Linked DNA regions of Oryzias latipes. The protein of the gene in region 2 interacts with the protein of the main gene of each other region in a biochemical or structural test. Links are inferred from orthologs where the notes say so. Each region holds a gene or a part of one and is shown on either strand. Other genes may lie near its edges. The genes, in order: ADP-ribosylation factor 1, arfgap1 and lrrk2.

Evidence for each region.
Region 1: the proteins of arfgap1 (region 2) and ADP-ribosylation factor 1 form a complex in vitro, tested with the Homo sapiens proteins (2 studies listed by BioGRID, with this or other methods). The link is inferred for Oryzias latipes from reciprocal best matches to the Homo sapiens genes ARFGAP1 and ARF1.
Region 3: of the proteins of arfgap1 (region 2) and lrrk2, one has a biochemical effect on the other in vitro, tested with the Homo sapiens proteins (3 studies listed by BioGRID and IntAct, with this or other methods). The link is inferred for Oryzias latipes from reciprocal best matches to the Homo sapiens genes ARFGAP1 and LRRK2.

Annotation. Positions count from the first base shown.
Region 1 is NC_019877.2:22,743,980-22,755,019, reverse strand, and holds the start of ADP-ribosylation factor 1, read left to right. Parts: upstream 1-4,105; 5' UTR 4,106-4,237; intron 4,238-5,413; 5' UTR 5,414-5,423; coding exon 5,424-5,571; intron 5,572-6,569; coding exon 6,570-6,680; intron 6,681-8,798; coding exon 8,799-8,923; intron 8,924-9,659; coding exon 9,660-9,821; 3' UTR 9,822-11,040. Other genes in the region: uncharacterized protein LOC101166422, read left to right, coding at 406-512, 601-721, 806-906, 1,032-1,196. UniProt on the Homo sapiens protein: Small GTPase involved in protein trafficking between different compartments. Modulates vesicle budding and uncoating within the Golgi complex. In its GTP-bound form, triggers the recruitment of coatomer proteins to the Golgi membrane.
Region 2 is NC_019863.2:27,805,880-27,816,145, forward strand, and holds the end of arfgap1 (ADP-ribosylation factor GTPase-activating protein 1), read left to right. Parts: coding exon 1-49; intron 50-157; coding exon 158-214; intron 215-327; coding exon 328-360; intron 361-522; coding exon 523-552; intron 553-3,071; coding exon 3,072-3,128; intron 3,129-4,145; coding exon 4,146-4,205; intron 4,206-5,093; coding exon 5,094-5,149; intron 5,150-5,250; coding exon 5,251-5,587; 3' UTR 5,588-7,864; downstream 7,865-10,266. UniProt on the Homo sapiens protein: GTPase-activating protein (GAP) for the ADP ribosylation factor 1 (ARF1). Involved in membrane trafficking and /or vesicle transport.
Region 3 is NC_019864.2:2,190,749-2,201,463, reverse strand, and holds the start of lrrk2 (leucine-rich repeat serine/threonine-protein kinase 2), read left to right. Parts: upstream 1-3,742; 5' UTR 3,743-4,072; coding exon 4,073-4,208; intron 4,209-5,852; coding exon 5,853-5,938; intron 5,939-8,486; coding exon 8,487-8,596; intron 8,597-9,040; coding exon 9,041-9,129; intron 9,130-9,298; coding exon 9,299-9,439; intron 9,440-9,713; coding exon 9,714-9,848; intron 9,849-10,715. UniProt on the Homo sapiens protein: Serine/threonine-protein kinase which phosphorylates a broad range of proteins involved in multiple processes such as neuronal plasticity, innate immunity, autophagy, and vesicle trafficking.

The DNA.
Region 1 (11,040 bases), on a different chromosome or scaffold from region 2:
AAACAAAGGTGGTGGTTCCCACAAATGTATGCTCGTTTGCATTTTGTGGAAAGAGGAACAACACAACTGTACAAATGATAATGACAATATAAACCAAGATGAAAGACTTTTCTGGACTAATAAAGGGATTTCCAGATGACTTCCTCAGGAAAACGTGAGAATGCGGAAACAAACATTTGTCAGTGAGACCACACATCATTAGGAATGGAGGTGAAGCAACCATTTGTCTAATCAAGCAAGAAGTCCGACTGCTCGAAGCAACGAATAAAAGGTCGTAACGCTGGAACAGTTGATTCCAGCTGATGAAATACAAACTGAGAAAGGAAAACTGCTGGTGTTATGAACAACAATTCAGTCTGTTTGTCAAAGCAGAGTCCATCGTCCAAAACATTTCTTCCTCTCCAGATATCCCAGTTGGGACCACAATCCAGTGCTGGTCTCCAGAACCTCGAGATGAACCTCCGTCCTGCTTCAGCTGTTCAGACACCTCCCAGATGGATGCATCAGAGAATGTGAGATTCATGCACAAAACCTCTAAAATGTCGTCTGCACCAGTGAGAGCCTGACCCATAAAACGGCCACATTTCCTTTTTCTTCCAGGACTCTGATCATTCTTCTGATGACTTGAGCTCTGGCGTCTTCTCTTCCTGCAACCGTCACTCGGACGGGCTTCTGGAGTGGAGAGCGGCGGACCGTCAGCGGTCCTCCTGCTGCTTTGAGGGTAAAACGACTCTCCTGGTCACTCGCTAATCACCTGCCACAGTCTGACATTTTAAAATCAGGTCTCTGGTTCTGGTGATGGCAGGTGTTGATGTCTGGATCGAGAACATGCAGGGGGAGTGTCTGCGGATCCGAGAGAGCCGGCAGGTCAACGTGGGTCATGTTGCCGTAGGAATCAGTGATCAGGTATGAAATCCTGCCTTCATTTAGCAAAAAGGAATCTTGATATCATGTTAAAATCGATTGAAACATATAAGTCTAAGGGACTTTGTCAGACTTTCACATCTTTCATCACATGGATCCTTCACCAGATCTGGGGAAAGGCCTTCACTTTGGAAAGTTTGGACAGAAAGCTCGTGCCCCTGGAAGAGAAGGTCAAAGTGTCGGGTCTGTGGCTCCGCTGTGTTCCCGCTCCTGACGGGTGTCAGCGCTGGAAGTGGAGGGTCAGAGACGGCAAGCTGGAGCTGCGGGACTGAAATGGACTTGAAATGCCGGAGAACTCTTCTTCCTGCTCAAACATCGTCCTTCTGTCATGAGGTTCACTACCTTCTTCAAAGACTACGACGCCCATCCAGACTGAGGCAACAGCATCCTCAGTCGTGAAAGACAGAAAGCCGAGCCGAAAAAAACAAAGCTGTGGATTCACCTGTTGCTCTACATTCCAACAGCTGCCTGTGGCCACAGGCTCGGAAAAAAGCAAGTCTCCCAAAGGAGGTTTGCTTGTGACTCTAGCAGAGCTCCGCTTCAGGAATTCAGACCTCGGATGTCCAACAAGACCCAGGAAAAATAGAGCTTTGCACAAAAGTTGAGAATGTTCTGTATTTCAATAGGATTCTTTTCAGAGAGGGGAGATCTGAGGACGGAGAAAAGGATAACGGACGTGCAGGAAGGTCTGGGGGTTGGCGCCTCTGTGACCCCCGTCAGAAAAAGACTGAGATGAACGCATGGAAGAAAAAAGGTTGAAGCCCTGTGAAGAAAATGTCTCCATCAGCAGCAGATCTGGACTGTTGACACAGAGCAGGTTCGGCCCCCCCCTGGATTTATGCTGTTGGCTCTGACCTGCAGACTCAGCAATAATGGAGATCGTTCAACCAAGCTTTGAGTTTTAACAACACTTTGTCACTGACGACCTCTGAAATAAACAGGATCTGTTTGCCCCCCGCGGCTGTGGATGACCTTTTGGGGCTCCTCTGTGGAGTTTTCTGTTTGCAAAAAACTCTTCAAACCAACATTATCTTTGCATTAAAACTTTTTAATAATGTAAATCATACAAAGATTGTTACAAGTTAGGGACATCTTAAATCTTTAAAAACAAATACTTTCTATTTAAAACATTTTTGAACGTCTTTGCGTTTTTTTCTTTGATTTAATTAAGTACAGATGTGGTTTTTATGCTTTTCTGTTTAATTTTAAACTTCCTCTGTGTTTCTGTGGGGAAAAAATTCAGAAATAAAATATTTAAACAGGCAGGAAAAAAACTAAATATTGCTAATAGACGTGACAAAAAACAATGTATAATAAAACATTTGGTGTATAAAGACTGGATTTAAAGGAGCATAAACTGTTTAAATTGTTGGTATTTTGTCAAACTTCTTTTGATTCCTCAAGTTATATGAAACAGCATTTTGTCAAAAACACAAAGACACTTAAAATATAATCTTATTTTGCAGCACTAAAGCACTTTAAGATGTCTAAAATGATTAAAATCTAAATGAAAAACATTACTGTTCCATAAATATTCCATTGGGAATAATGTACATACTCAAAACGCTACAGCCAGTTTAAAAGCGAAGCTTTTACGTGGAATTATCACGCATCGTTTCCAAAACAGGACAAACTCAGGAGTGCAAGAAACCAGATTTATTTTATTCTTTAAACGTGAAGCAGCTCAGGTCCTGCAGAAATACAGCAAATGTCTGGATGCTACGGAGACAGGAGAGGGTTAGTGATGGGAAGTGATCTTGAGTGGTCAGAGCAAATGCAGGCTCACTGGGATGAGGAGTGTGAGCCGCAGGTAGCAGAGAGGGGGCGGAGTTAAGTCCTCTGTACAGCAAATGGATGGAAGTCAGACACAGATGTCAGAAAAGAGAAGGATGCTCGTTGGAGCGTGGTGGAACTCAGGAGTCTAGGGCTCAGTCACAAGCACTCTTGATTTTGCAACCCAAAAAACTGGTCTCCAGGAGGGTCTCTGGGAAATGGTTCCAAAATTGCAGAGGTGCAGGGGCTTATGAGGCTTGGGGCAGAACGGTGATGCAGGGAAACAGGAGCAGAAAACGGCCATAGCAGCATGGAGCTGAGAGCAGAATGGCTGGGCAGGTTAGCTGGAAGCGCGGCTGAGTGGCGAGCAGACAGGTAGGCGAGCAGGCAGAGGACAGAGCAGGTGAGTTGACTGAATGCTTGCAGTGCAACGATCCAGCAGAGAGTGAGGGGCAGAAGCAGTGATACCTAAAAGAAAAAAAATACTCATCACTCACCTTCAGCAAGCCAAATAACCAGCTGTTACTTTTGCTCATGGCGGACCACCTCTGGTGGGATATTTATGGTGGTCTTCTAGTTGTCAAGTCTTTCCCACATTGAACCAAACTGAACCCATTTAAAGACATTTGGGGAACCTGTACTGGTGTTTTGAGTTCAGTAGATGATGGTGAAACTGTAAGAAATATTCAGAATTTGAGCAGATTTCTCCACTCGATCAGGATTTTGCGAAATCCTGTTTTCTAGGGTTTTATGAGCTGGAACCTCAATTTATGTAAAAAAAACAACAACTTAACAATTAAACCTGGACCCTGAATCTATACTCTATGAAAGCTTAGTTCTAAAATGGAATTATAAAAAAATGAAAACACTTTTCCATGTATTTTATTAAGTGTCTGTACATTGCCACACAAGTGAGCTCATATAAATGATGGTTTAGGTTTTTGGTGTCTCTGGAACCTAATGTGAACCTGAGAATGTAGGAAAAAACAAAAAAAACGTTAATAAATAAAAGCAAACCAACACTGACATGTATAAAAAAGACAAAAAGAGTCAAACAAAGAACAATGGATCCAAGTAGAAAAGACACCAAAGGAAATTCAACCCAAGAAAGACACTGAACACAATGAAAACCCGCCTGTTGTTCAACCTAACAACAAGGAAGAGAGGACAATATCCTTTATTTGTCATGATCATTGTACGCCTTTCTCGTGCACTCTGCTGGAGAGTGCCGCATGTTCGATCCCTCCCTCAGCTGTCAGCGGCTGAACCGTCCTCCTGTCACGTTGACGGCGGTGGAACTTGAAGAACTTGAGTTAACTTCCTCGACATTTTGTGCATCGTCGACGCACAGACGATCTTTCTGCTGATTGGACGGAGAGCTGGGCGGGGGCGGGGACATTTGGTACACCGTACGCGCTGTGATTGGCTGAGGCTTGATAGTGGGCCGTGCCCGACGCCGGTGTCTCCCTGGTTGCGCAAGACGCCATTTTGGAGTGACAGTGAAAGATAACCTAAAGACCAGCAAGCTGTCTTTTTAAAGGTAAAAACCACCAGAACCAATTACTTTTTTTACTCTGTATGCCGTTTTATGAGAGTGAGTTCAAACTCGACCTAAATGATCAAATTTTGGTGTGGTTTTGCGTGACGTCATGCTGTTCTCTATGTAATGTGACGCGGCATCGAGCTAACGGCGGCTAGCTAGCTAGCTACGGTGGTTTCTGGATCGACTGACAAGAAAAAAACGAGTAAAAGATACTCACTTTACACGACACATATTACACCAACGGGCTTATTTATACGTCAACCTTTAACTTCGTGGATACGTACCGCCTGTTCGTTGTTGACAGAATGATTTCGCACGGACCAAACCCAGTCTTTAGCCGTTAGCAGCAGGCTAGGCTCAAGTCGAAGCATCCGCCCTATAGTCAAGCTAACCATCAGTTGGTAATGGGTGGTGACAGCACAAACTTTCTGATTTCCTTTAAAACAAACTGTTACATTTGATATATGACTGCTGCCCGTAAAAGGAAAATACTGCTATTTTATTTTTTACTATTCTTCAGTCGTTTACTGACTGACAAGGCCCCAGTCATCTGTTAGCTGTGCGGTTAGCCGGCTGTCCGAAGTATTCGTCCGTCCAGTTTGCTGCGGACTCCATTAAAACACGCAATTTATGGTCCTGGAGCTCGCACGTCAAGTCGAGATAGAAGTTAGGGGAAATATTTAGTTTGTTGATGCTGGCCACATTGAGTTTCGATCCTAATAGCCGAAAAACTTTGATAAATGACATTTTCACTAAAAATCCCAATGAAAACACATCTGATGTGTTTATGTAGACCTTCACAACTCCCACGTTAAGGAAAGCAGTTATGCACATCAGTCTGGAGATTTACCTTAAACCGTGAATGCCTCCCAAATTATATTTAGGGTCATCGATGCTCTGGTACTGTCATTGATTACCTACAGATGACTAGGACTCTAGGTCAAACTATATGTCTGAATAGTTATTTTGATGGTGCAGATGTAAAACAGTTTAGCCAAAGTGAACATTTAACTCTATATCTCTAAATTTCTGTTATTGAGTCTAAAACACGACAGCGTTGCTTCAATCCTACTATTATTGTCTGTTATGATGTTCATTTATGTGTTGGTTTTCTTCTACTATTTCTGTACGAGTACTAAAATGTTGTAGTTATTTACTTTTGTTGTTTTCCAGCTCTGTCATTATGGGGAATGTATTTGCAAGCTTATTCAAGGGCCTTTTTGGCAAAAAAGAGATGAGAATTCTAATGGTTGGGCTGGATGCTGCTGGAAAAACGACTATCCTTTATAAACTAAAGCTTGGAGAGATCGTCACCACCATCCCCACCATCGGTAGGATTTCTGTTTGCAATGGATCGTTTTTCATGTCAAAACGCTGCATGGATCTGTTCATCCTGAAACTGTCTTAGTGAGAGAGATATTGTTAAACCCAAAAAGCAAAATGTTATATTAATGATATATAGGTTACGCCAAAATTGTTGTCGGGATTTTTTTTAAAAATTGCGTTGAACGAAGTCTGTTCTGATCTCAACAGAAACAGCAGTAACAGCAGTGGATTGCTAAAAACATTGCAATTTCATAACCTCTCTGTTTCTGCATACAATGCATTTTGCTGCAGTATTCTGTGCTTGAATAACACAAATCTTCTGGTTTCTCAATTAGTTTCTCCAAGCTGACACTGAACTCATCACTGTTTACCTGTATTTCATGGTTTTTGAGTTAACCATTGTGTGTCTAAGTCAATACTCCGGCTGTCTGGATAGAAAACATTTACACCGTCAGCCATCAGAGCTGACTTTCAGCTCGTTTCCACAAAATCTAAACATATTGTGGCCAAAGATTTTTACAAGGAGATGCATTTTGCTGCCTTTGATCCTAGTTATTCACGGCTGTTATTGTTGCTTCCTGGTGAATTCTTTCAGCTCGATCTGTGGATCGGCCCAGATCACATTCAGCTGGATGAGTTCAGATAAACGTATGAAAACGGAGACGTTTCAGCTCCACGTGGGCTTTTCTCTGCTTATTTGTAATATCTCTGTTCTGCACGTTTTGGTAGCTTTAGTGTTGATTTAAACGTTTAGTTAAAAATGTATTTTATCAGCCTTATCATCTGAGAACATTTTTAAAAGATTGAAAAAAATGACATTTAGAATGATTTAGTTTATGAATTTGTAATGAACAAAGATATTGACAATTAATGCTTTTAACAATGGAGATACTCTGTGGTAAACTTGAAATCCAATTAAAATGATAATTTATGACCTGTTTAATGTAACCTGGGGAGCCTTTCAGATCCGTGTCTGCCACTAAGCCTGTCCTCATTTGTGCAGGTTTTAACGTTGAAACGGTAGAATACAAGAACATCAGCTTCACGGTGTGGGATGTGGGCGGTCAGGACAAAATCAGGCCGCTGTGGCGCCACTACTTCCAGAACACTCAAGGTAAGGGCCGACTGTTGGAGCGCATTACTGCCTATAGGGGGCCTAACTTCTGCGCTGAAGATGATCTGAACGCTGCTGGACCGATGACTCATACTTTTGTTCAATTCTTCTAAGGGTTTATTGTTTGACTCCTCCTTTTTCCTGACATTAAAGTCGTCAGCAACTATTAGGGCTATTTGAGTTTTTCCTGCCTAGAAAATCAACAGTTGGTGTAACAGTTAGGTTTCAGAGACAAACCTCCACGTCTGGTTTTCCTCTCTATATTTCTCTGTCAGGGCTTTTCTTTTTTATTTTGTCAATTTTAATATAAAAACAAACGTTTTTAAGCTTTTGGGAACGACATCACCTTAAAAGTAGTCTATTTTCACCATGGCAACAAATCAGTGTTGTTGTTTTAGGCCCAAATCGTCACGCTTAGATCCTGGGATTAGACTATCTGAGTTAACGTAAGTCATTTGAAAACAGAAGAATACATGAAATATGATAACAGTGGTCACCTGGAAAAGGATCTCAGCCAATCAAGGCTTCGTTTATGTGTTGTGTGTGTGGACTGTGTATGTGCTTAGCTGTTGAAAATATCGCAGGTCTAGCATATATGGGACTAATTCTTGTCAACTGCAGTGAGCATCCAGAGAGGCTCTGGAAAACTCAGCAATCCTCACAGGTTCTGGGTTTCCCATGGAGTTAAACCCTCCTGGCTCAGTATGTGTGGAGTCTGTAACCGTTCATCCAGACTCTCCTGGAAAAAAAATACATACTTGCATGTCTGATAAGCTTTGTTGATTTATTTAAAATAGAACTACATTTATATAAATGAATGACATTTATTATTTACGTAGCAATTTACAAAAGTGCTGTACGATAAAGGACTGAAGAAAGTTTAAAACTAGGCAAATTAAGAACACAATTCATAAAATTACTAATGCAATAAAATACATAAAAGATCAAAGTAGTGCAATAATAATATGTTCAGATATTTGTGGAAAAAAGATCCGTTAAGTCTCGGGTCAGCTGGAGTGACTGAACGAAACATCGGACACCAGCACAGGGTTTGTGCCGAGCGGCAATCAGACCAAGAGAAACACGCTCACAAGGGAAGAATGCACCAGTATCTTTAAAATCACCTGTAGGGTCAGAATTAAGCAGTTCAACAGTGAACAGCACTAAAAAATGTGTGTGTTGTCAAAGTTACTGTTGTTTAGTCACAGAAAACGGGCAAATAAAGAAAGTTTGATTCAGGAACTGTCTTTTTAGCAGCTAACCAGTTCCAGTTTGATGGAACTGATTCTAGTTGACTTCTGATCGGCTTGAAAGCTGCGTCCAGGTAGACGTTTGGACTCCCACGGCTCGCTGTTCACAGAGCTTTTCCTCTCAAGGCTCTTTTCTACACTTCAACCTGCTGTTGTGCTGCCAAATGTTTTGTCTTCCATTTTTAGTCCTTCACTCCTGATGAAGACTTTTCCTTTTGCTACACTTACCACAGTGGGAAATAAAATAAACCCACTCTAATTTATCATGTGCTGATCATTTTGATCTATTTTTTTTATGACAAGTACTTTTTGTTTGTTTGTATATTATATCGGGTAAAAAATTACCCGGCAAAAGTGATGCTGCCATTTTTATAGCCAAAGTGGTCCACGGTTAACTAGTAATACCCGGTAACCTAGCAACGAGTTAAACTGGACGTTAAACATCCTGAAATATTTTTTAGAAGCAAAGCTTTTGACAGAATGTCAAAGATTCCCGACTGTAACTTTGAAGTGTCACAGCTGTCTGACTGTATCTCAGCCGCGTGACATTCACGTGTTTTATCACGACACTCGAAAGTCTGTTTCACCGCCGCCTTGTGGTCACAGTGGCGCATGACGTCCAAATGACAAAGGTTGAAGCAAACGCGTGTGTTAAACCCAAAGACTCCAGTTCAAGAGTTTCTATTGGATCCAGTCAAAGATTTCAGAAGTCCTCCAACATTTTATGTGTTCGTCTGTAGAAATAGCATCGTTACAAAGAGGCAACCTCCTCTTTCAAAGCCCAGCATAAAGGTTTTGTAATGCAGGTTCGATTCCTCTGTCTGGCTGTGTCTTTCTGAGCCGGTGGTCTCTGCCGCTTTCTTCGCAGGGCTCATTTTTGTGGTGGACAGCAACGACCGGGAGAGGGTGAACGAGGCCAGGGAGGAGCTGTCGAGAATGCTGGCGGAGGATGAACTAAGGGACGCCGTGCTGCTCGTGTTCGCAAACAAACAGGTGAGGCCGGACGTCTGCGGCGTCTTCTGTGGCGTGAAGAACAGGCGGTAGCCGCATCTCCATGTTTTCAGGATCATTGTTTTGAGGAGCGATGAAACCTGTTTGTTTGAACTAGGGCTGCACGATATGAGGAAAACTTGCGATATGCAATAGTAGAGATTAATATTGCGATAACGATATAATTTGCGGTATATAAAAAAAATAGAAAAATGCCAAAAACATCATTCCCATTTCATTAGAAACAGTTTAAAATTACACTCCAAATGACCCTCATCGACATAGGTGACAAACATCTAACATAATAGGCCTCCATCTGATTGGTCAACAATGGGAAGGCGTCCATCTGATTGGTCAAAGCATAAAGGGATTTATTTGATTCGTTAAAAGCGTCAAGCTGCCATAAGATTGCTTTAACACATTTTGGGTTTACGATTTATTGCGATATTCGCAGTCTTTTGCGATATGCCTATTGCAGAGCTGGATATTGCGATAACGATAAATTTGCGGTATATTGTGCAGGCCTAATTTGAACGAAGGCCATCTCTGATCAGGACCTTAGAGCAACAGTCAAGCAATTTAGTGAAAAAACTCTATTTAATGTGGGACATAACGTTCACTGCAGTAAACCCATAAAGGGGGGAATCTGGGCCAGCAGGTGTTGGCCAGAACCAGGTCCAGATGTGTTCTTGAGCGGAGCATTTGCTCCACCATTGCTGACGTTGTCCTGTCTTCATAGGATCTCCCCAACGCCATGAATGCTGCAGAGATCACAGACAAGCTGGGCTTGCACGCCCTCCGTCAGCGCAGCTGGTACATCCAGGCCACCTGCGCCACCAGCGGCGACGGCCTGTACGAGGGCCTAGACTGGCTCTCCAACCAGCTGAAGAACCAGAAATGATCCATTCCACCACTTTTGATTTTTGTTCTCTTTTTCTTTCCTTTTCCTGTTTCAACACGACGGCAGCACGGACCCAGGCCCCTCTGCCCCCCTGTCCCACCCGGTTTCCCGCCCTCGTGCTTTCCTTTAAGAACTTCCTTCATTCCCTCGCCCTGCTACCTTCTTCTGTCAGTACTCTAGGGGCTGTAGCCTGTGCTGCTTGTGTGTGCGTGTGTGTGTGTGTGTGTGTGACCTTGTGTGTTCAGAGTGTGTGGGTGTGAAGGCGCCTGTGTGCGTTGGCTGGGACTGGGAGTAACCCTGGCGTGCCTTTTACACACCTCCTGTGGAATCAGCAGTCTGGTTTTCAAGCCCTCTCTCCATCCACCAAGCTCCGCCTCCGCCCCACTCAGTCTTGCACGCCCCCCCCCCCCCCCCCCCGCTCTCAAGAGGAAGCATGGTTTTCACATGGCAAATGAAGCCCCCCCCCCAGTTAACTAGAAATCGTCCCCCGTTGTCGACCAAATGTCAGATGTTCCTTTGAAGCCGTTCGATTGAAAGAGATCCAGAGAACGGCATCTTAACCTGTATCAGGTCAAGTCACACAACTGTAAAAGTCTAGCAAAAGCCCCGCCCACCGCCATCCCGGTGCCATTTGAAAATCATGCTCTTTGTTTTATTATTATATTGGAATATATCATATTATTCTGGCTGTGGCTCTCCGGTGAACACTACCTTTCTCCCACCACCGAGACCGTCAAGCACAAAGCAAGGCAGCAAGTCCGAGTCCACGGTTGCAGATCTGGTCTTTTGGTAGTTGGCCTCTGATTCCCTGGATTAAACGACATTTTTGAGAAGCCCTTAAGTGTGATGTCTTATTGTGACGGCGTTCCGATTGGATCCCGCTGGTTTACCTGCTTTCTCTACCTGGTGTTGGCGTTTCTCAGACCGCTGAAGCAGTCCCACTAATGCAGCACACGGCTCCAGAACCTTCTAGCGCCTGAGCTGGCTCTTCAGCGGGTTTCTCCTCCTCTTCCTCACTGTTTGCTAGGTTTTTTTTTGCCTTTGCTATCCAACCGTAAATGTTTGTGGGATGAAGGACTGGCACCAAATATGAAGGCTCTAAAACTGTGAAGAATCCAGACGGGAGGCGCAGACGGGTCCGCGACTCCTCGCTGCAGCGCTGCATGCGCCGTGGCGGGGAAGACGGTGGCGGGCCGAGGAGTCAGCGGGTGGAGGGGGG
Region 2 (10,266 bases):
GAAGAAAGAGGACGACTTTCTGAATAACGCCATGACTTCAATTTACTCAGTAAGTAACACTTTTTACTAGTTTATACCCGGGTTCCTAAACTTACAGTCGATAATTGTTTATAATATATTGTTAATAATATAAAAATAATTCTGATTTTATTTTCAGGGCTGGAGTAATTTCACAGTCGGAGCCAGCAAGTTTGCTTCTATTGCCAAAGATAATGTGAGTGTGTTTACATAAAAAAACTAAAACTGAGTTTATACACTAAATTGCTGAATCACCAAGAACAGCAATAAAAAAGTTGAAGCAATTATTTATCATTTGCTTTCACACAGACAACCAAACTGGCAAACCAAGCAACTCTGAAAGTAAGAGTTCTTTGGCTTTAAGCTTCTTATATGTTTAGTTTTTAACCCTTTTTAATGTCGCTCTCTCTTTAAAAGCATGATGGTAGAAAAAAACTGTAAGATGGTGAACTTCAGATTTCTAATCCCTGTTGTTGCTACTCTATTTGCCCTCTCTGGATGTAGTTAAAGGGTTATAAAGCACCCCCAGAACCGGTAAAGCACTTTGTTAGGTGCATGAAGTCCTTTTTTAAGTATTTCTTTTTAATCAATTAATTTCTTGCCCATTTTTTTTTTTTAGATTCATTTTTATATTTCTTAATGTTGCTGAAAGTCTGTCAGGTGTTTCTGCTTGTTGCCACAAAACATTACTCATCTTGTGTCTGTTTTAAGTTGGATAAGCTCTGAAAGCCATTTTTGTTATTTTTTAAAGGAGAAAGATTAAGTGTTGTCTTGCCTCTACAAATACAGGTACATCTCAAAAAATTAGAATGTTTTGTAAAAGTTCAAAATGTTGTCATTTTTAAAAGTGAAACTAAAAAATATATAGAATTATTACCAATTACAGGTCTTCATTTCTTCTCATTTTGATGATTTTGGATCATAGATAATGAAATCCTAAAAATTTGTGTCAGAAAATTAGAATATCAAATCAAATTAAAAAAGCATCTTTTAAGTGCAAATCTGCAAAAATTTCTCTGCACTAAACAGCGGTCGGGCCTTATTTTGCATGAATATGCATCAATATTCTGTGGCATTAGGGCAATCAGCCTGTGTCATAGGTGGAATAGAAGCCCAGGTTGCTTTGATAGCTGCCTTTGGGGCATCTGAATTGCTGGGTCTGGCGTCTCTCACCTTCCTCTTGACCTGCTGGAAAATGAAATCACCATCATCACACTGCTTGTCAGCTAAGGTCAGCTTGAAGAGATCCAGAACTTCCTGATAGATGACCGCATTAACTGTAGATTTTAGAAAACCGCGTGGATAAACACAATTGCAAGACTCAGGAAACCTTTGCAGAAGTTTTAAGTTATTTAACAGATTTGGATGTGCCACTAGTTTGATCCAATTTTTCACAAAGTTCTTAAGTTCTTATAGACTAAATTTTAGATTTTTATCCCCAAACTTTCAAGACATTTTAAGATTTTTAAATTGTTACATATAAAAGTTTCACTTTCTTTTAATGACTGACAAAAATGGATGAACTTTTCTGCTCTATTCTAATTTTGCAAGAAGTACTTGTACTGGGTTATCTGTGTCTGCATGGCAACTTTTTTTTGAAACCGCTAAAGAGCTCTGAGGGGTGTTATGGTAGAAAATAATTCACATTGTTTCTATGAACTTTCCATTTAATCCTGGATTATATTTTCAGCCCGTAGTAATTAAAAATTCCCACAGGAATTACGCAGAAGGGGTCATTTACCATCTGGGTTGTATTGTTCAACAGAAAAAGAACAAATAAAACCTGAAAAAGATGTTTTACAGTGAGAAGGAAAACACAAATGTGTACTCTTTAAGGTTACAGATGAATTATTTTGAAAAGTTTTGAAGAAATTAAAGCTTTAAAGTGTTAAAGAAGAAAAAGTTCTCTTTTGGAGTTCTTAGATTGTAAACATTAATTGGTGAAACGGATCTTAGAAAAGGATCGATGCTTCGGTGCAATATAGCTTTTCTTAGTTAAATAGCTGAATTAACATCATTTTATTAAAAGGCTAAAATATGCTTTTGTTTTGAAGTAACACTAATTATCATGTTAGCATTAGCAGAGAGAGTTTTTTCCCTATGTGACTGTATTTCTAGTCTATTCAATAATCTTCATGATGGACACATAAGGAGCTAGAACCTGGCCTTAAAGAGAGACTAGTGGCTCCTGCGGGTTCTAGCTTGGAGCTCTGTTCTCTTTCTGCTGAAACTGGCTGTAGAGAACAGATCATTACTTAACTCTTTGGCTAAAGTGCCTGAGTTTGTGTGGGAGGTTGAGATATCCTGCCTAAAAATAATCTGCTTTATCTCGTTTCTGTGACTCTGGTGCCGCTCTGACTGAGGTGCATCCAGCAGGGTTAGCTGACTTCTGAGGAGAAACGGCCTCTTTGTGTGCTTATTTTGTGCCATTATATCCCTGTCAGAGCTGTGGTCTCTGACTGAAAGGCTGGAAAATGGAAAATGAGTTTCCCTCTCTTTATGATTTTTGTGATAAACTTTGCGACTTGGGATGACGGCAGATCTTATATGAAAGCAGACTGTGTTAGCCACAGTTTGTCCAAAACAAACGCCTCGTTTTTGGATGGTTGCATTCATTAGTGTAGTTAACAAGCGGCCCTGTTGGGTTTCAGTCAGTGGACCAGATTTTTAGTGGCAACTTAGTAATAAATGTGGGCTGTTTTACATGGAAAAGGTAAAAATGCCTGTTTTTAAACTGTGCTCCTGCACAAGTTAAACCACGTTTTTATAAACTATCTAGAAACATGATATCAAAATTATAACTGGAAAAATTAATATAAGAAATTAAAAGGTCAAATATACTTAAAAACTGACACTTTTATGAATCCAAGTCTCTTTCTGAAGATGGAAAATACTTGTTTTTTTTCTACTGTCACACCCTTTTCTGTCTCTTTCAGTGTGACGTTCGATGAAAATGCTTAGTTTCTGCAGCTAAAGAAGAGCCGCTCGGTGTCATGTCTTAATGTGAATGTTAAGCTGTTTCAATCAAACTTTCTTTTCTGACTTCCAACTAGGCAACTGAGTTAGGACAGACATTAAATGAGAATGTTATCAAACCCACACAAGAGAAGGTAAAATGAATGTTTGAAGTTGTCAGTTTGGTGGTGGGATGCAGTTCTTTAAATGGAAAATAACAACCAAAATGGCTTTAGATGTGAATGTGCTTTTTCCCTCTGCTGCTTGTCTTTACCACTTTATCTCCTTTATGCCAGCCTACATTAAACGACAAGAGCATGCTTAAGCCAATCTCCACTCACTGTGCCAAAAATAAAAGTTGTCTTTAATGCGAAATTGTCTTCAGATGATTCAACCTTGTTTAGGGACATGGCTTGGTTGGATTCCTTCAGATCTTGTAAAGCTTTATTTTAGTCTTTATGAGTTTAGTCTGCACAAATAAAAGCTGTAATTGGCAAACAAGATGTCCCTTTTACCAATTTTAATTCATCCTTTTGCTTTGACCTGAATTAGTGGTGAGAAGCTGGAAGGTTTTGTCAAAATGTTTTCCCTTATACTAAATGTTCCCTGAATTTTTGAAGGGCTAAAGCCTTCTGCTTAATAGAATATCTTTTTTGTTGATTCTGCCTCAGTTTTGAAGGCAGGAATGACGGATTGATGATTTGCTTACAGTATTTTAGTTTATGGGAGTGGTTGTCTATGAAATCTTTAGGTTTTACACACAGTTGGTTTGAATGTGTCACACGTTCAAGTGGCTTTTAAAGTTGATAGACTTGACTTTTTGTGGTGGTAAGTGGAGTAAACACGTTCTACTCTGGTAACAGAGAATCATGTTTTGATGCTCTTTTCAAGCAAAGTGAGACTTGAGAGACCAGCGTGTTATTTTTTTGTGTTTTGCTCCATACAAATTGCTCCTTTTGCTTGTTCTATCCAAAGGAATCAACACACTTGTCTTTCAATGTAAAGCTGGCATTAAAAGTGTTCACAGCCCGTTTCCCTTTTCTCTCTCATCCAACTGTCTTTTGCATTTGGCTCTAATTCTTTCCAGAAAAAGGCTCACATTTTCTATGAAGCAAACTTATTGGAATGTAGATTTTTTTGTTTTTTCTAAATCTTAAATGTGGCTCATCCAGGTGAAAGATGGCAAATTGCTAGATGAAATGGCAGTCAGCTTCTCTGGGATAGCAAACAAGGTAGGATAGGCAGACCTCTGCCGAGCTCGTCTGACGCAAAACCAGTCTCCTGAACAGAGGTCATCAGATCTGAATGAAGGCTGACCTAGTTTGAGACGAGCCTCTCGGTCAGCAACGACTTTTTTTGTCCATTCGAGGAGACTGGTTTTGCAGTGTTGATGAAATGTAAACAATGCTAATATCATGTTGTTGTTTTTTTTCTTGCTGTCGTTAATGTTGTGGCGGTGAGTACTGCTGTAAAGTGCAGAAAAAGTAGGGATTTATGTTTGTTAAAGGAAAAAACATTTGTAAAATGTTTTGTTAAAGACCCACTCTGATTGTCTTTTTATCTTTTGGAAACCTTCCCAGTGGTCTTATAATTATGATTATACCTTTTTGGCTGAAATAAAAAAAAAACCTTTGTTGTTTTCTAGGACATAGTTTCTGCAGAGTGGCAGTAGTTCATTAGAAATTCCTCTCTGAGTTGTGGGCAGGACTGTTGGTGCAGAGGTACCCCACCACCCTTCCTTGCCCCGTTGCTGAGAGCTCGGAGCAGGGAGCTTGTGGCCCGGTCATCTTATTTTCTACGTTACAAATAAAATCATTTTTTAAACTATTTATTCTTCTGCTCCTGATTAATAACAATTTGAATAAAGAAATACTCATAAATGCAATTTTAATCTTAATTTTTTTTAATGTATGTCCTCCGTCATAAAAAAATGCCACAAGAATATGTTACAAACACCAAAAACATGATTGTCATCAGAGTGGGTCTTTATGCTATCAGTAAACACTGTACAAGTAAAAAAAAAAAAAACCCTCTTCAGGAAGTCATCTTTAATTATTATTTTGATTCATTCATGTGTTCGACACATTCGCTGGTTTTAAGACGTGCTTTTTCTGACTCAGGTTCAGGGAGCTGGAGCAAAATTGACAAACCTCTTCTCCGGAAAATCAGAAGATGGGTAAATATCACAGTGTCAACAAAACAAATCTCTTGCCAGCAGTGTTTCATTTATCAATGCCAGATTGCAATAAAGCATTTCCTTCATCTACTTCTGTTCAGAACCGGTGCAGAGAGCTACCAGAACATGGATTCAGCTGAGGGGTATCAGAGCAGTTCCAACAAGCCAGTGTCAAAGGACTTCTGGGAAACCTTTGGTAGCAACACTTCCTTAAAGGAGAAGAAATCTCCCAGCAGTGACAGCTGGACCATCCCAGATAATTCTGCTAAGAAGAGCTCAGACAGCTGGGACAATTGGGGTTCAGAAGGAGCGTCTAACAACAAACACAGCACGGAGGAGAGCTGGGAGGCCTGGGACAACAGCTGGGAAAATGCCGATTCTAAGACGAAGAAGAGTCCGACGAAACCTGAAGAAAGTTGGGAAGCTGCAGACTGGTAGATGGCAAACTCCTAAATAACATCTCACCTCTTCCTATTCTCTGTCTCTTCACCTGTCTCCTCCTTTCCCGCTCATCCTGCTGGCACTTTCAGGAAAACATCTGCATCATCTCAGCCCCTGTTTTTTTAAGTTCTTTGTTTCTCCATAACTTACTTACAAAACAATCAAAGACAGAAATGGATTAAGCTCTTAATAAAAGGAAGAAATGAAGCTGTTCAGAGCTACAAGTCACTGTAAGTTATTTCCATAAAAAACCCAACTGTATGTAAAATGTAAACTTCCTTGAGGTACCTCCCAAATATAGTTCCAGAAAACAGTCTGGGTTTTATGAATGAAGCAAGTACTGTTTAGGTCATTGCAGATAATGGCACGCATGAAAGAAAAATACTGTAAATTGTTGTAAATAAGAAAAACTGGACTAAATACAACCTGCCCTTTTCATTTAATTATGTCCCTTTTTGCAAAAATGTTTACATGTTTTGTAAAATTCATTTATGCCAAACTTTACTTTGCAGCTCATTCTAATCTGCAGTCTGTTGTGCTGGAGAAATGTACGAGTCCTTTTTGCAACATTGATTAGTCTTTTATAATGAAAAATAACATTGGAACCTCTCTGATTAAGGCCTTTCTACAGCAGCTTATGTGTTTGAGATGTTCAGAAAGATTAGAAAGCTACTTTGGCTCGTGTAGTACGAAAACTATTTTTTTATAACAGCATGACGGGGCAAGTAGTGCTCTCTGGTTGGTCTGAAGTAAAATATTTCAATTAAAATGTACATGTAGGTGCAGTGTTACCCCTCAGTGAGTCAGTGGGTCAGCATGCTGTCTTTCTCTTTAAAATTGATCAGAGTCAGAATTAAACTGTGATTCTAAAACTCTTAAAGTGTAAATATCTACATATAAAGTCATTGTTTTCTACATTTCCTACACTCATTGGAACATCTTTATTAAGGTTCATATTTTAAATTAGTTAAAGCTCTCAAACTGTTTTCAAACTCATATTACACATCTTAGATATATTATAAAAAGCAAAAAACTTTAAAATTTGATCAAAATGATTTTCCTTTTTAAAGTATTGGTATTTGGTTTGTGGAACTTATTTTCTTCTTGGCCCTTTTCAGTATTACTCAATAAAGCTTAAGCTGAGAACTATTTACTTGTACTTTTGATAGTTTATTAAAAACGAAAAGCAAAGGAATGATTGGATCCTGTACTGATTGTGTTTGCTGGCCAGTAATCTTCAAAGATTAACTTGATGGAAAATTCATTCAGTTCTCGTTGACCTCAGGATGGAAAACATCTTTCATTCGCGGCTTCGATGAGTGACACATAAGTTCTGGGAGCTTTATTCCATTTTTTTTTCTTTACTACCTCTTACAAGTTTTGTATTTGCTGATTGGTTTTCAGAGGAGAACCTTTTTCCACTCTTTTCACTTGATTCCAGGCATTTTTTTGTTCAACTTTGTGGGGTTTTTTTGAAAAAAAAAAAAAAATTTGAAAGAAAAAAAAAACAGAGCAGCAAGGTTACAGTGTTTCTTATGTAATTAAAGTACTGTGCTGTAAAAATAAGTTACTGCTGTAACGTGTGTCTTGCTGAAACCGCACTCGTCATCCTGTACGGTCCAGTGTGAAGAGCCTTAACTAGCTGTGTTTCTGTTGCTGCTGTGTTAGCTCGTGTGACAGTGATATGGACGTCCATCCATGAATCTCCAATTTATCCCCAAACTGTCTTTGCATCACTGAGGCTTAAAAGTATGTCGGCCATGTTTTTTTTTTATGTATGTTGAAAGCCTTTGAGCATTGATAATCTATTACTGTCAAGCCAAACCTAAGCAGTTAGTTTTCTGGAAACAAAAAACAAAGGTTTTATTGGGTTATTTAATTTACATACTCACTACAAAATGAAAAACACCGTAACTCTTCATATAAAATTTATTTTTATTTATATATATACAAGTATGTGTTTTTTTTTTTACTTCATCTGGATTCACTTTCCCAGAGCAGCAGTTGTGATTTTGTGCCTGTAAAACATCTAAAATTGGATTTATCTGTATGTCTATGAAACAAATTATGTGAGAAATGCTATTTTTGATGTCATGCATGATATATAATGTGGATCTAAATACATGCAGTTGTTTCTTCAGTGAATTGAAGTTGTTTGCTTGAAGTCTCACCAGCAGCCGCCCGTCTGACAGAGTGAGTCTGTGATGAACCCAGCTCAGTGCGGAGAAAATTCCTGTTCATGTGGATCCTATGAAAAATAAAAAAATGTATTGTGAATGGCATTTATTTCCCTTATGTTTTATTTCTCTTTTTAAAGATATACACAAAGATCCACCTTAGATCGCCTTTAAAGGGCCTTCATCATGCTATTCTTAAGTCTTTCAGTAGACTATATGATAATATATTTACCTTTGGCATACTAAATAACAATTTTTTATTTAATATAGTGTGAGGAAGACTTGCGATATTAGTGATCAATATTGCGATGACACTTTAACTTGCGTTACATGAAAAAATAGCAACACATCCAAAAACATGATTTCCATTTCACTGCAACAGTTTCATTTAAAGAGTCAACCCTTGTCTACATAGGAGACGAGCATCTAGCATAAAAGAGCTCCATCCAATTGGCCAACAACGTGAAGGCCTCCATCCGATTGGTCAGATGCATAAAGGGGTTTATTAAATACGTCAAGCTGCCATAGGACTGTTTCAGCACATTTAAGGTAACCATTTATTGCAATTTTTGCAGTCTTTTGTGATATTTGTATGGCACAGCTTGATATTGCGATAACGATAAATTTGCGATTTATTGTGCAGGCCTAATATTGTGCATATAAAATGAGAGTTTTTAACGATCACTGGAGAAAGTGTGTGTGTTGGCTTGGCAGTGCAGACTCTTTCTGAAAGGGGCTGGTCCTCACTTTGTGACATCACAGTGTGAGGACCCACTCGTTTTGGTGGATTGGGGGGGGGGGGGCTGGTGCTCAGAATGCAGGATTCTAGAGGAAAACTCAGAGATGCGTAAATTGATCAAAATTTGGGGTTGTTTTTTGTGAAGAATTAACATTATAATACACTTAAACGCGTAAAAAGTTGATTTATGACATAGGAGAGATTCTGATCTCAATGGGTCTTTATTTGGTTAAAAAAGCAGTACAGAACATAATAAAAATAGTGAGTTTGAGTGATAGGGGAGCAGGGAGAGGCAAACTCCATATTTCTTCCTAAATTGTATATAAATAAAATTGAATTACATAATAGATAGCTACCCTCATTCATTGCCAACTTTCCATTTTTAAAGGAAAATAAGGGCTCAGTTTTCTCATTGTTTTGTATATCAGAACGTTTTCTGCGTCAGATTTAATTATAAAATACTATAACTATCTTATAACATAACTTTATTGAGAATAATTCATTTTTATGAATCAAACTTAAAGGAAAGATGAGTAAAGTAATGGCTTTTAGATTACACAAAAACCATTACATTTGCAGAATTTAGACTCTTAAGAGCCAATCACAGGGCTAAACAAAAATAAATAATGCTCACAATTCCGAAAAAGACAAACTAAAAATAATTCCTATGAAGAGAGCAAACCAAATATCTTCATATATTTTTTGGGGAGTTTTAAACTAATTTCTGCTGAAGGGGCGGTTTTATGATGCGCAGGTACATAAACTATGCATCAGACATTTGGGGGGAAACGACCTTTTGCTAGTGCGCATTACCAAAGGAGGAAGGGTCTCATTCGATCGCAGACGCTGACATTTTCGTCGTGTCCCGCCCACGAGGCGTGGAGTCGTGCCTCCTCTCCACAAGTCTCGCTCCGGGGACAGAAGGAGACCGGGAGGACCACCGATGGCTCTGGCAGCGCGTGAGTACCACCGACTCATGACATTAGCCTCTAATTCAACCCTAAAGGTGAAGGCAGGATGCGTCATCCGCCTCCAAATACCGCCTTACATCCTACCTGCAATGGAGAGGAAGACAGACAGAGCAGCCGTTAGCCGCCTATGAGGAGTTCCAGACACGGGGAGAAAGAAAATGTGGCCAGTTTACCAACTCTTTGCATAAACAGCTATGGCTGCAAGTTGTGAATCTTTTTTATTTTTTTCCTGTCGTGTGTTGTGCTGCAGTCCTCCTTACGTGAAGCACACTTATCCTGTGGAAATATAACTTACCTGCCGCTGGCTTTCCCTAGAAACGTGTGACGACGAACAAAATTACGGATTTCCCAACATGCAGCACGGTAACTGTTGCCGAGCCCCGCGCGCGCATTTTTCTGATGGAATATAACTGTTTACAAATAACCCCCCCCCCCCCCCCCCCCCCCCAAAGAATAGCCGGTTTACTGTGAACCACCATAGGGGGCGCCATTGTTCATGATCAATCGGTTTCGGAAAGTTAAGCGCTCCAGTTTTCCTGTATGAATGTGGTTTCTAATCCCTCCGCTTCGAGGGCAAACCGGAGAGAAGAGCGTTAAAATGGCGTCAGAAGGATCCGTGCGTCGGTGAAAACGCGAGGAAACGGCTGAGGTCAAAACGAGTCTTTTCTGAGGCCACACTGTTGAATTTCTTTCAGGCTTGGAAGTCCTCTGTAGTTGTTGCTATGCTACCGTCACAGCGCACGCAGCCAAATCATCAGTAACTGGTCTCAATGAAAAGTCCCCTCCGAG
Region 3 (10,715 bases), on a different chromosome or scaffold from region 2:
GGACACCAGGATTGGTGACAGGAAATAAAACATTTAATTAGCAAACTGAAACATGACAAAACTATGAGGAGAAACAAAACTGTGACACAGCAGAGCAGATAACCTTACAAGGATGAACAGAAACCAAGACACTTAAATAGGCTGAGGGTAATTAACTGAACTGAAGACAGCTGTGGATCATGAACCCGAAACTGGAGTGAGTGACAAAAAGAAAACCAAAAACATGACCAAGAACAATGCCACCGAATCCTTACAGGAACACGCAGTTCTTTTTTTCAAATCACAAAAACTGCATCTATTCTACTTTTGCCAAGGACATTTTCAAGATTTTCATTGCAATAGAGAAAATCATCACCTAAAATGTTCTAGTGCCGTCTTAGGTACATTTGAAAATGATATAACAAAAAAGACCTTATCATTAAAAATGGGGCTGATGTCAAATGAGCGCAGCCTCTGGAGAAAGTACAGCCTGGACCTGGTCTTCAGTTAATAGATGTTTTAAAGCATGTAGGGGTGGAAAGGGTATCAGGCAAATGTTGGGGCTAAAATTGTGTCCTAGAGTCCACAGAAAGAGTTTTCATCCACCTTTTAGGAAATGAACAAGATTTGTTGTTTTCAAAGTGCAGTAAACTGTCACGGTCAGGCCAGCAGGTTGGAACCCAAATGCAAGAAGAACCATGAGCGAAGGTGTAGCAAAGTCCCAGGGTTTCATTCCCGAAGTCTCAACCTAAGAACATAAACACAAAGAACTGCTATCACACATAACCAGCTGACACTAGCCGCGTTTAAATGGGCAAAAGTAATCGGAAAGAACACCTGATCGGAAAGAAAATGCGTCATGTAAACGCGCCATTCGGAATACTCTGCCCCGGTCAGACTCGTTGGGATCAAAATTTCTTTCCGATCGAGATAGGTGGGTTATACCGATCGTTTATCCGATCGTTGTTCATGTAAACGGTCATTCCGATCGTGTGTCACTACTGGTCTTGTTTACCTCACGCATAGACGGTGTGTCACTCCAGAGAAAGCTTTGGAGCTCAAACAGGACCGACCAGCTGCTCTGTAGACGCCCCGTGAAAAGCGCCGCTCCGCTCTCGCCCCGCTGGCTCTCCCCTCTCTTTCATCCCCTACGAGGGACATGCGGGGCAGGAGCGCTTCGTGCCCCCCGATGCTCACTCGGTCCACTGGCACCCGAGTGAGCAGAGCAGCTGGATTAATAACTTCCTGTCTGATGGGAGGAGAATGCTTTTTTACGTGTGCGTTTTGTTGTTTTGTGATGTGTGGGAGAATTCAGACTGCGGGCCGTCCCGCCGCTCTGGGTTAGCGGCTGCAGGACTCAGGAGGAACCGCCAGCTCACGCAGCAAGTTTGGGGAAGCAGAAATAAATGTCACTCAGAAACTGTTCAAACAATCACGTGGATTTGTGTTTCCAGTTGTGTCCCGACAAAATAAAGACTGATGTTATTCCCAGACATTTACATGCAGCCAGGATGCAGATTTCTGCGTTTCTCGCATGGTCCTGGATTTTGTGTCCATCAGGCTAATGTTGTTAGCCTTTGTTGATAGCCTGTCCTAACCCTTCTTCCAGCACTGATCACACGGATTAAATAAAAACGATGAGCGAACAGGCGCTTCATAATATTCATAACATTAATAAAAGCACGTTTGGAAGATCGTCTCGTATATTACCGAGCTGCTACATTAAATAAATGTATGTGGCAGCGGTTTGTTTACAACGGGACCTATTTCCTCATCCGGGTGATTTTACACTACTGCGCATGCCCAAATGATTCATTCCAACCGAAAGTGTGAGCCATGTGAACGTTTGTTCTAATCGGAAAAAGATTTTCTGATCCCATGTGCACGGGTGAATTTTAACACGACCATTGATCCGATCAAGATATTCTGCCCATGTAACCGCGGCTACTGAGGGCTCAGAGAGAGTTGCTTCAATGCAGTGAAAGCCAATTAGCAAAGGAGATGATACCTGTGCTCGATTGGATCTTTTTCTATCGCATTTTAATCTTCAAAGGCTTCATCAAACAATATAGATATGGTCAATGACACCCCACAGATCCAGGTTGTCCGTGAGAAGGAAAGGCATTCAAAATCCACCTTCCCACGGCTATTTGGCCACAGGAACACAGAGCCTCTGTGGGGAAGGATCACTTATATCCTAATTTTGTGGCTTCTGCGCAGCGTACCTCAAATGAACTTTTAAAGGTATGAGTATCTTAAAACTTGGAGAAGGGAGTCACCCAGCTGACTTTGGTTGACTCGTCTGACTCACTGACTCGTTTTTACTCTCAAATTGTGTGATCTTTTACACCTACATTTGCTCACCATGTTTTAAATCATTCAAGTTTGAAATATTTAATTTCTATTTAGTCGTGCTGTTTTCTAGCATTACCACACAGAATGAAACACTTGTTTGTTCAAATGCTAATTACGGTTTTTTTTTAAATTCTTTGCATTTAGCTGCTGATCTTCTGCTGGTTGGTATAATTGCAGGTATACAAAGGTTCATGTGATAAACACAGGAAAACTGGGCTTCCCAATGTAGTTAGTATGACAGTGTAAGGATGAATAAAGACGCAAAATTGGGGGGGTGGGGGGAAGGTAAACATCTTACGAGAATTAAGTCATAAAGTTAGAAGAAAAATGTCAACATTTTATAAGAACAAAGTTAAATGTTCAAGTGTCTTTGAAATTTGAAAAGCTAAATATAATTTTAAAAACATTACACCTTCCTTGTAAAATTACTAATTTCTGAAACATCATTGTATGACTTTTTCATCATTATTGCACATTTATTTTCGTAAAATGGTGACTTTCGCTTCTAATTTCATTACTTTATTGCACAACTTTATTTTCATAAAATGTTGTCTTTTTTCGTTTTAAAAGCAGGGCTTTATATGCTCATGAAGCTTAGCCCTTTTTCTAATAAATTGACAGCTTTCTTTTAGCAAAATATTGACTTTTTTCTCATAAGTGCATTACTTTATTTTTGTTACATTTTTAATTTTTTCATGTAATTCTACGACCATTTTCATCATATTTTACTTTCTTTCTTGTGGTTTTGTGACTATTGTCTTAACTTTTTCGCTTGTCTCTTTTTTTTACAACTTTACAATCAAAATTTTGATATTTTTCTAATACAGTTATGACTTTATTCTCGTCTATTTCTTTAGGCTATTTCTTCTTATTATTATTGTGGCCCTAATACTCTGTCGTAAAACATATTTGTAAAATGCGATTTTTAATTTTGGTATAAGACTAAATGAATTTATTTCCACATTGGGACCTGCATAGTTTTTTTTCTTTACTGGACCACTGACGGTCCATACAACACTACCGTAAATCCGGGCGTAAGTGCGCAATACAATAAAAGTTTACTCTTTCAGGTAACGAAAAGAAAACGGAGACTTCTTTAATAAATCTAGCATCTGTTCAGCAGAGGAGGGATTACTGTCAGGAAGAAGGGTGATGGTTTTTAATTGGCCTAAAATAACAATAAGAAAAGAAACGGCATCGTCAGTGTAAAGTCTTTTTATTGAGTTTTCTTTGTTAAATTGACCATTTTACGTTACCGACTGTCATGAAGTCAAACGATGAGCGGACGTGAGCGAAGCTGTCAGGCGTCGTGAGGAGGGCGGACCGGAACGGACCGGGTCAGTCAGTGGGACAGCTGCCAGTGAGTCTCCTGTGTAAACGGGAAGTGTTTTTCAGACTCGAGTCATATGATTGAAGTGCGTGGAAACAGGAACTCGCCTGTGAAGAGAGAGGAACCGCGGTCTTTTCGGATTCTCCGAGGCCGCAAGAAGGAGGAACACGTTCTTCTCTCAGAGAAAGTGGTTCGAGGATGAGGTCAGGGCCGGAACTCACTGAGTTACTCAGGGACCGCGTCCCCGCCCGGCTCGGCTCGGCTCACTGTCGCTGCAGGAACATGGAGCAGCTTAGCTAACGTCTACGGCGCGGTGAGCGCGAGCTCTTCTTCGTTCGTCTTGTTCTCCGGGAAACACCGACCGACTGACCTCGACCAATGCACTAGTACCGGGAGACTTTCAGGAGCATGGTCGACCAGGAGGAATTAGAAGAACGGCTGAGGAAACTTCTGGTGAGGCTGAAGTCTCCTCAGGAGGACAGGCTGATGTCCACGCTGATCCAGATCATCCAGGATCTGCTCTCCTTGGCGCTCGAGGACTCCGGTAGGAACCACCCCCCCCCCCCCCCCCAACACCACCAAACGAAAACAAACAAACAAACATCAACGTCTTAGCCTCCCATTTACAGAATATTTCAAATAGTTTGTTTAGCAAAGACTTGAATGTCCCTGAAAAGTCTGCATGATGTTTTTTTTTATTTGGGTTTATGATCTTAGATGTACTTTTATTATGAAATCTATTTGGAAAATATTCCCCCTACAATAATTTCAATAATAATGGTCATTTTTAAAATGACTTTATCCCTGTTGAAACTCCATTTCCATGGTAACGGCACAATGCCACTGCCATGAGTGGACAAAAACAAAGCAGGACTGCTTTAACTCCAATGAATCCATGTCTGAGGGTTAGTACCTCCGACAGGGTCAACTCTGCTCTCCCGTGTGAGCAGACATCGTGCCCCGGAACCACCTGAAGGACATCCAACCCCCCATTCTGAACCTGTGATGCTCAAGGGCATGCCGGCAAAACATGTGTCTTTTTAGTTCATCTCTCAACCTGCCAGTTTCAGATCAAGCCGACACCCAAAAAACAGAAATGCTCTCCAGCCAGAGGTCCTGCTGATACCTTCGTTTTGACTCAGAAAAGTTCCCCTAAAACACAGGCTTTCATGCAGATAACAGCTGCATGTAGAACGACTAGAATTGAGTCTGCCTTCAAATGTCTCCATCTGAATTTTAGAGTCGTACATCCGATGGTTTTGGTGTTCTTGTGGCATTTTTTTTTTCTCATGACGGAGGACATATATTTTTGAGTATTTTTGGGTTCAAATTTTTGTAAATTGGGAGTAGATGACAAAATGCTGTTTGTAAAATAGTGATGTAGATGTAATAAACTGGGGGGGGGGGGGGGGGGGGGGGGGGGGCACACGCTTCCTGCTCTGCTCCATTCTGATGCATCCACTTGCAGACGAATAGATCCACGTATGACTTTGATTTCTCAAACTGGACTGGAATCCGGATCAAAACTGTACGGCTGCATATTGCCGGGCGATGTTGCTCGCCTTTTGGTTACATCGATTGGGGTTGTGAGGGTCTGTAGGCTAGTGGGAGAGACTGTGAACAGATGGGCAATGGGAAGAGGGGGTTGCTCTGCAACGGTCCCACCCATAACTCAGAAGCAAATTTAGAATGAAATCCTGCTGCTCTGCAGGAACCATGTCCTAGATTATGACAAATATTTTGAATTGAGCTAAAAACAGCATAATTATAAATAAAAGGCCACTCAGTACGCTTTGAAAATAGATCAAAAGAGGATCAGAGTGGGACTTTAGTTGATGACCAAATCATGAAATACTCAGAAATGCAGTTTGAATTTATTTTCTTTATACATGTCTTCCATCATAAGAAACATGGCAGAGGAAAATGTTCATTTTTAATGTTTTTATTTAAACAACAACAGGGACCAATAAACAGACATTTTACTTACTTCCACATCCTTTAAACTTTTAATTTCAAACAAAGTTCATTCCAGAATTGGCAGTAAATTTTTCATTTTTCATTTTTGATCCAAAAACTACGTTGTGGGTTCTTTACTTGTGATGGATTGGACTGAATTTGCCTCCACGATGTTACCTCCTCCTCGTCAGGTCCTGCTCTCTCATCCAAGCTTTCTTTTGTTTTATTGCAGCAGCTGAACTGTTTAAAGACAAAGAAGTGCACACACCTCTTATGGTTGTGCTGTCCACATACATCAGCAGCAGGAGAGTCCAGCAGGTAATGCAAGGCCTTTCCCCATCAAATCAACAGGAGTTTTTAAATCAGCTGGTATCCACAACCAGTCTAAGCTCTCAGAGTGGGGTTCTGATGCACACGTGGACAACATTTTTGTTACCCTTCCGTTATTGAAAGAAAAGCTCGATGGTCAAAGAAATTTGAATCTGAGAAAAGTAATAAGTAAGGGTTAATGGCCGACGAAGTGTGCGTTATTACTTTTTAACGCACGCCGTGGAAGCCTGAACCGTCCGACGCGAAGTGCGTTAAAAAGTAATAACCGCACACTTCCAAGGCCATTAACCCGCTTATACCATGGTCACTTACAAAATCTATACATTTGAACCAGTTTTTTAGTCCTTAATTCTTGTTTTTTTTCCAATTTGGATCACTTTTCTCACAAAAAGCGGACTATTTGTTACGTGATGGACCACCGCTGCAGTCAAGATTCGGCGATATATATATGCTGATCTTTCCAATGGGTTGAATGAAGCATCAGTTCAGAGAGAAAGTTCACCTCTTACCACTTGTTTTTGTCCAAATGATGAAGCAAAAGGTTGTTTTGAAGAAGCCAGAGCAGTGATACAAAACATTTAAACTAGGTGACCGGAACTTCTTCTTTCACCGTGCGGTTATCAGGTTTTAATGCACACCCAGCAGCCAATCAGAATCGGGTATTCACCCGGACCATGGTATAATGAAAATTAACCAATGAAGGTCAGATATTGCTTTACAACCACGCCTTTACAGGATGATTTACAATTTGTACCAGTAATCTAATACTTTGAACCATATAGGCAATCACTGCGATCAAACGATTCCTGTAACTGTCTAACAGACTCTTATACCTGTTAACAGGTATTTTGTCCCTCTCCTTGTGAGCAAACTGCTCCTGTGGTTTTTCCAGACAGCATGTTTCAGTATCTTTCAAAGATACTCTATAGGATTGAGGACAAGGCTTACAGAGGGCCATTTTAGAATAGTAACGCAGTGTTTAATTGATACTTTATTTATTGATGTTTCCCAACCCTTGTCGTCGGGGAACACTGTCCTGTTTGTTTTTCCATGCTACCCTGTTTTAGGACACCCGATTCACCTCGTCCTCAAGCTCTGCCGAAGCCTGATAATGGCCATCATCAAAGGCAGGTCTTCTCTGAGTAGAATAGGGTTGAAAGAAAAGGGTGGACAGTGTTCCCTTAGGACCGGGGTTGGGAAATACTGATCTAACGTTTTCCTCTTAGCCTTATTTGGGTGTTTTTAGGTATCCGTTTTTGGGTTATTGTCCTGTTACAGGACCCATGAGCCATGACTGAGACCAAGCTTTCTGACACACACCAACAGATTTCTCTCCAAAATCTCTTAAAAGTTTTGGGATTACCATCATCAGAAAAATGCTTCAAGAGCACCAACAAAAAACATTATTTCCATTGGAGTGGGTCTTGATTAACCTTTAATCTCTGAAGAAGTTTTTCTGGGCTCTTTCATTACCATTCGTATTAGCCAACTCTTTGATTTGTCATCGGTTTTCCTCCTGTACCCACATACAAGGGGGTTGTCTACAGTCCTATGGATCTTTAAATTCTGAACAGTATGTGCAACTGTTGTCTCAGAAACATCAAGTTGCTTGGAGATGGTCTTACCTTTGACATGCTTGTCAATAACTTCCTTTCCAATCTCTTTTCCTTTGCTTCCTCTGGTCCATGTTGAGTGTGGTACACACCATGTCACCAAACAGCACAGGGACTACCTGTAGCCCTTTACATAGGCCCACTGACTGATGACAAGAATGTGGACACACATGGATGGTCTCCATTGTCGTTCTTGGGGTGCCGTCATTTAAGTCCAGCTTTGATTTAGGATTGTAGTTTTTAAAATAATTCTGTTTGACTTTCATTCATTCTCATAGAATTATTATTTAATGCTATTACTATCAGATTTAGGTTATTTTTTAGACCATTGCAACGTGCCTCAGGAAAGTCGTTTTCACACACACCTGCATGTTTTAAGGTGGAACATCTTTCAATTCCACTTTAAATTCAAGACAGGCGTCCTCTCCAAATTTGATGTTTAGGTTCTTTCTCTCTTTTTAAGCAGATAATGATCTTAAAAAATAAGAAAAATGCTGGGGAAAATGTTCAAAGTAATTGACCTGTCAGTCATTAGCATGTGTGAAGACCCCACCCTAGCTGTCCTGACACAGTGGCAGTCGCTGCAGCTGTGGTCTGTAGTGTGCTGGAAGCGGTGTGTATCTGTCTGAGTTTCAGTCCTGCTTTGCATCTTAAATAAAACGCACAAGTGACCTGTATTGGCCTTATCCGGCATGCCGGTGGGGAATTGTGACCGCTGTTTACTCAAACTTATCGCAGGCGACACACTGAGATTACAACAAACTGAAAGTCCGATTGGGTAGGCACTCATGCTTAGACCATGTACAGCTACAGCTTCACTTTTTAAAAGAGTTCAATTTAATTGATACAATCTTTCTATTAGTGTGTTTCTTTAATGTGTTTTATGTGTATTTGAAGTGGAAGTAAAGTTTTCGTTCCTGCAGGTGGGCTTGTCATTATTCTGTCAGCTGATAGAAATATGCCCCGGCACACTGGGGCAGCTAACCAGGCCGCTGCAGGCTGCCAGAGACTGGGAGGTCCTGCCTGTGCACCAGTAAGTGTCCCAGTGCCCCAATCTTCCCATAATAATGAAAGGCTTGTGTTAAAGGGTCATGCAAAGAAATGATTTGGAAGCTGAAGTTGTGACATGTTTAGAGGAGACAGTGTTATACATTTGCTGGCAGTAAAAAAAAAAAAACCCAAGTAAGCCCTGGAAGTAACAGACTTTTACACTTTAGTTGGATAACTTCAGCAAAAGACACGACTTTGTTGCAGTGGAACCATTTACAAGTTCCACGTGGCTGAATTACAACCAGCATTTATCTTAACTATTCAAATGCCAGTCTGTGTTTCCAGTTTGCTCCAGCAAGTGTCATCCATTTGTCACAAACTAGTGTTGATTGCAAAAACCTCCTGCATTTTCTGAAAGACGCTGTTGTCGTGTGCTGCAGCTGTGGGCTTAGAGCCCAGATGCTGATTGTGCTGCTGTGTTTTCCAGGCAGATCCTGAAGGTGCTTTCTCAGCACAGCAGAGACTGGCATGTGACCATGGTTGGACTTCGGGCGCTGGCTTTGCTGCTCACATCAGGTGTGCACCTGCACCAGACCCACTGCTGTGACAGAAATGTTGGAGTGGGACTTTGAGAATAGTTTGCCCTGCTTTCTATTTTCTAAAGCTGACTTAATGTTTTAGTTCTTCAGTGTTTGATCAAACTGTGTTTACTTTCCCGATGCTTTCTTCCTCTGTTCCTGAATAGATGTGATTCCCATGTTGCTGCTGGAGGAGGAGGAGGAGGAGGATGTCTTTAGCTTGGTGGTCCAGGCGATGAAGACTTTTCCTACCAGCCATGAAGTTCACTTTCACGGCTGTGGAGTTTTGCAGCGGCTGCTTAACACAGGTGAACAAACCAGAGCGTTGGAAACTGGCTTAAAAAGGAAATGCTTTAAAAGGGCAAAGGTTAAGGCTGTCGATGTGGTAAACAGAGAGAGAGCGGTTGACCTCTGATTGCAGGTTCAGTTCCCAGCTTGTGTGGAAGTGTCCTAGGGCAAGACACTGAAGCCCACACTGCTCCTGGCACATTAAATGTTTCTGAGAACTGCACTGAGTAACTTTTTTCTCTGTCAGGATTAGGAAAACTTCCTAATTTGTCATTCTTGTGTTTGTGTTCTCAGTCAGTGCCGCTCATCTTGTGGAGTTTGTGGAGAACCAGGACCATGATGTTGTTCTTTCAGCTCTTCAAAGGTTTCCAGGAAGTCCAGGGGTGCTCCTGCAGGCCATGAAAGTGCTTCTGCCTCTGGCTTGCACCGGTAAAATCCAAATACACCAAAATCTTTCTAAAAAAATGTGTATGGAACATTTCTATTAATTAGGTCCGAAACTTGAAATGTAAGTTTTTCATATATAAAACAATCTTTTCCTGAAGCTTTTGTGTATTCAGTGGACAGGTTGATCATACATGAATCGACAATACAAGACAGGAAAGATCCAAATAAAAACACAACCTCATTCAAAATGCACTAAAGTTCCAGTCATGGTTCAAAACAATCCAAAAGTATCCTAACGAGTCAAACCAACTGTAAAACACCTCAACAAAATACTTCAAATGTGTCCAGAATTAACAACACAAGCTGTAATGTAAATGTAAAATGGTTCTGGAATCTTTTTGGATCTTTTCCGTGTACATTGTCTTAGTTTAGGTGTTTTAAGGCTTCTGCTGTGAGTTTTCAAGGCTTTAGATAACAATTACAATAATAAAGACGACAACTGAAGAAGGTTTCACTTTGACCCACATCCTTTTTGAACTAATGTCCCAATGAAACGGTTTTATGTCATGTTAGTCAATCCAAAGAGAGAGAAACATAGCAGTCTTTATGTGTTTATGCATTTGGGGCAGAATGCAGAAGCTTTTTTAACGCTTGCCTCAATAATAGCCACAATTCAGTTCAAAACTTGATCTTCTTTGGGGGGGGTCATGGTTTTGTTTCGGTTCTAATTATGATTTGTGTATTATAAAACAACAACAACAAAGTCAAAATTCAGAAAAATCCTTTTTCAAATGAGCTAATAAAGAAATAATAATCAAAAAAACCTTTCAGTTGGCTCCTGGTTTAATGTCATAATTAAAAAAAAAACTTTTTACAAAAATGTTTGACACTTTCGGCGTAAACATACTG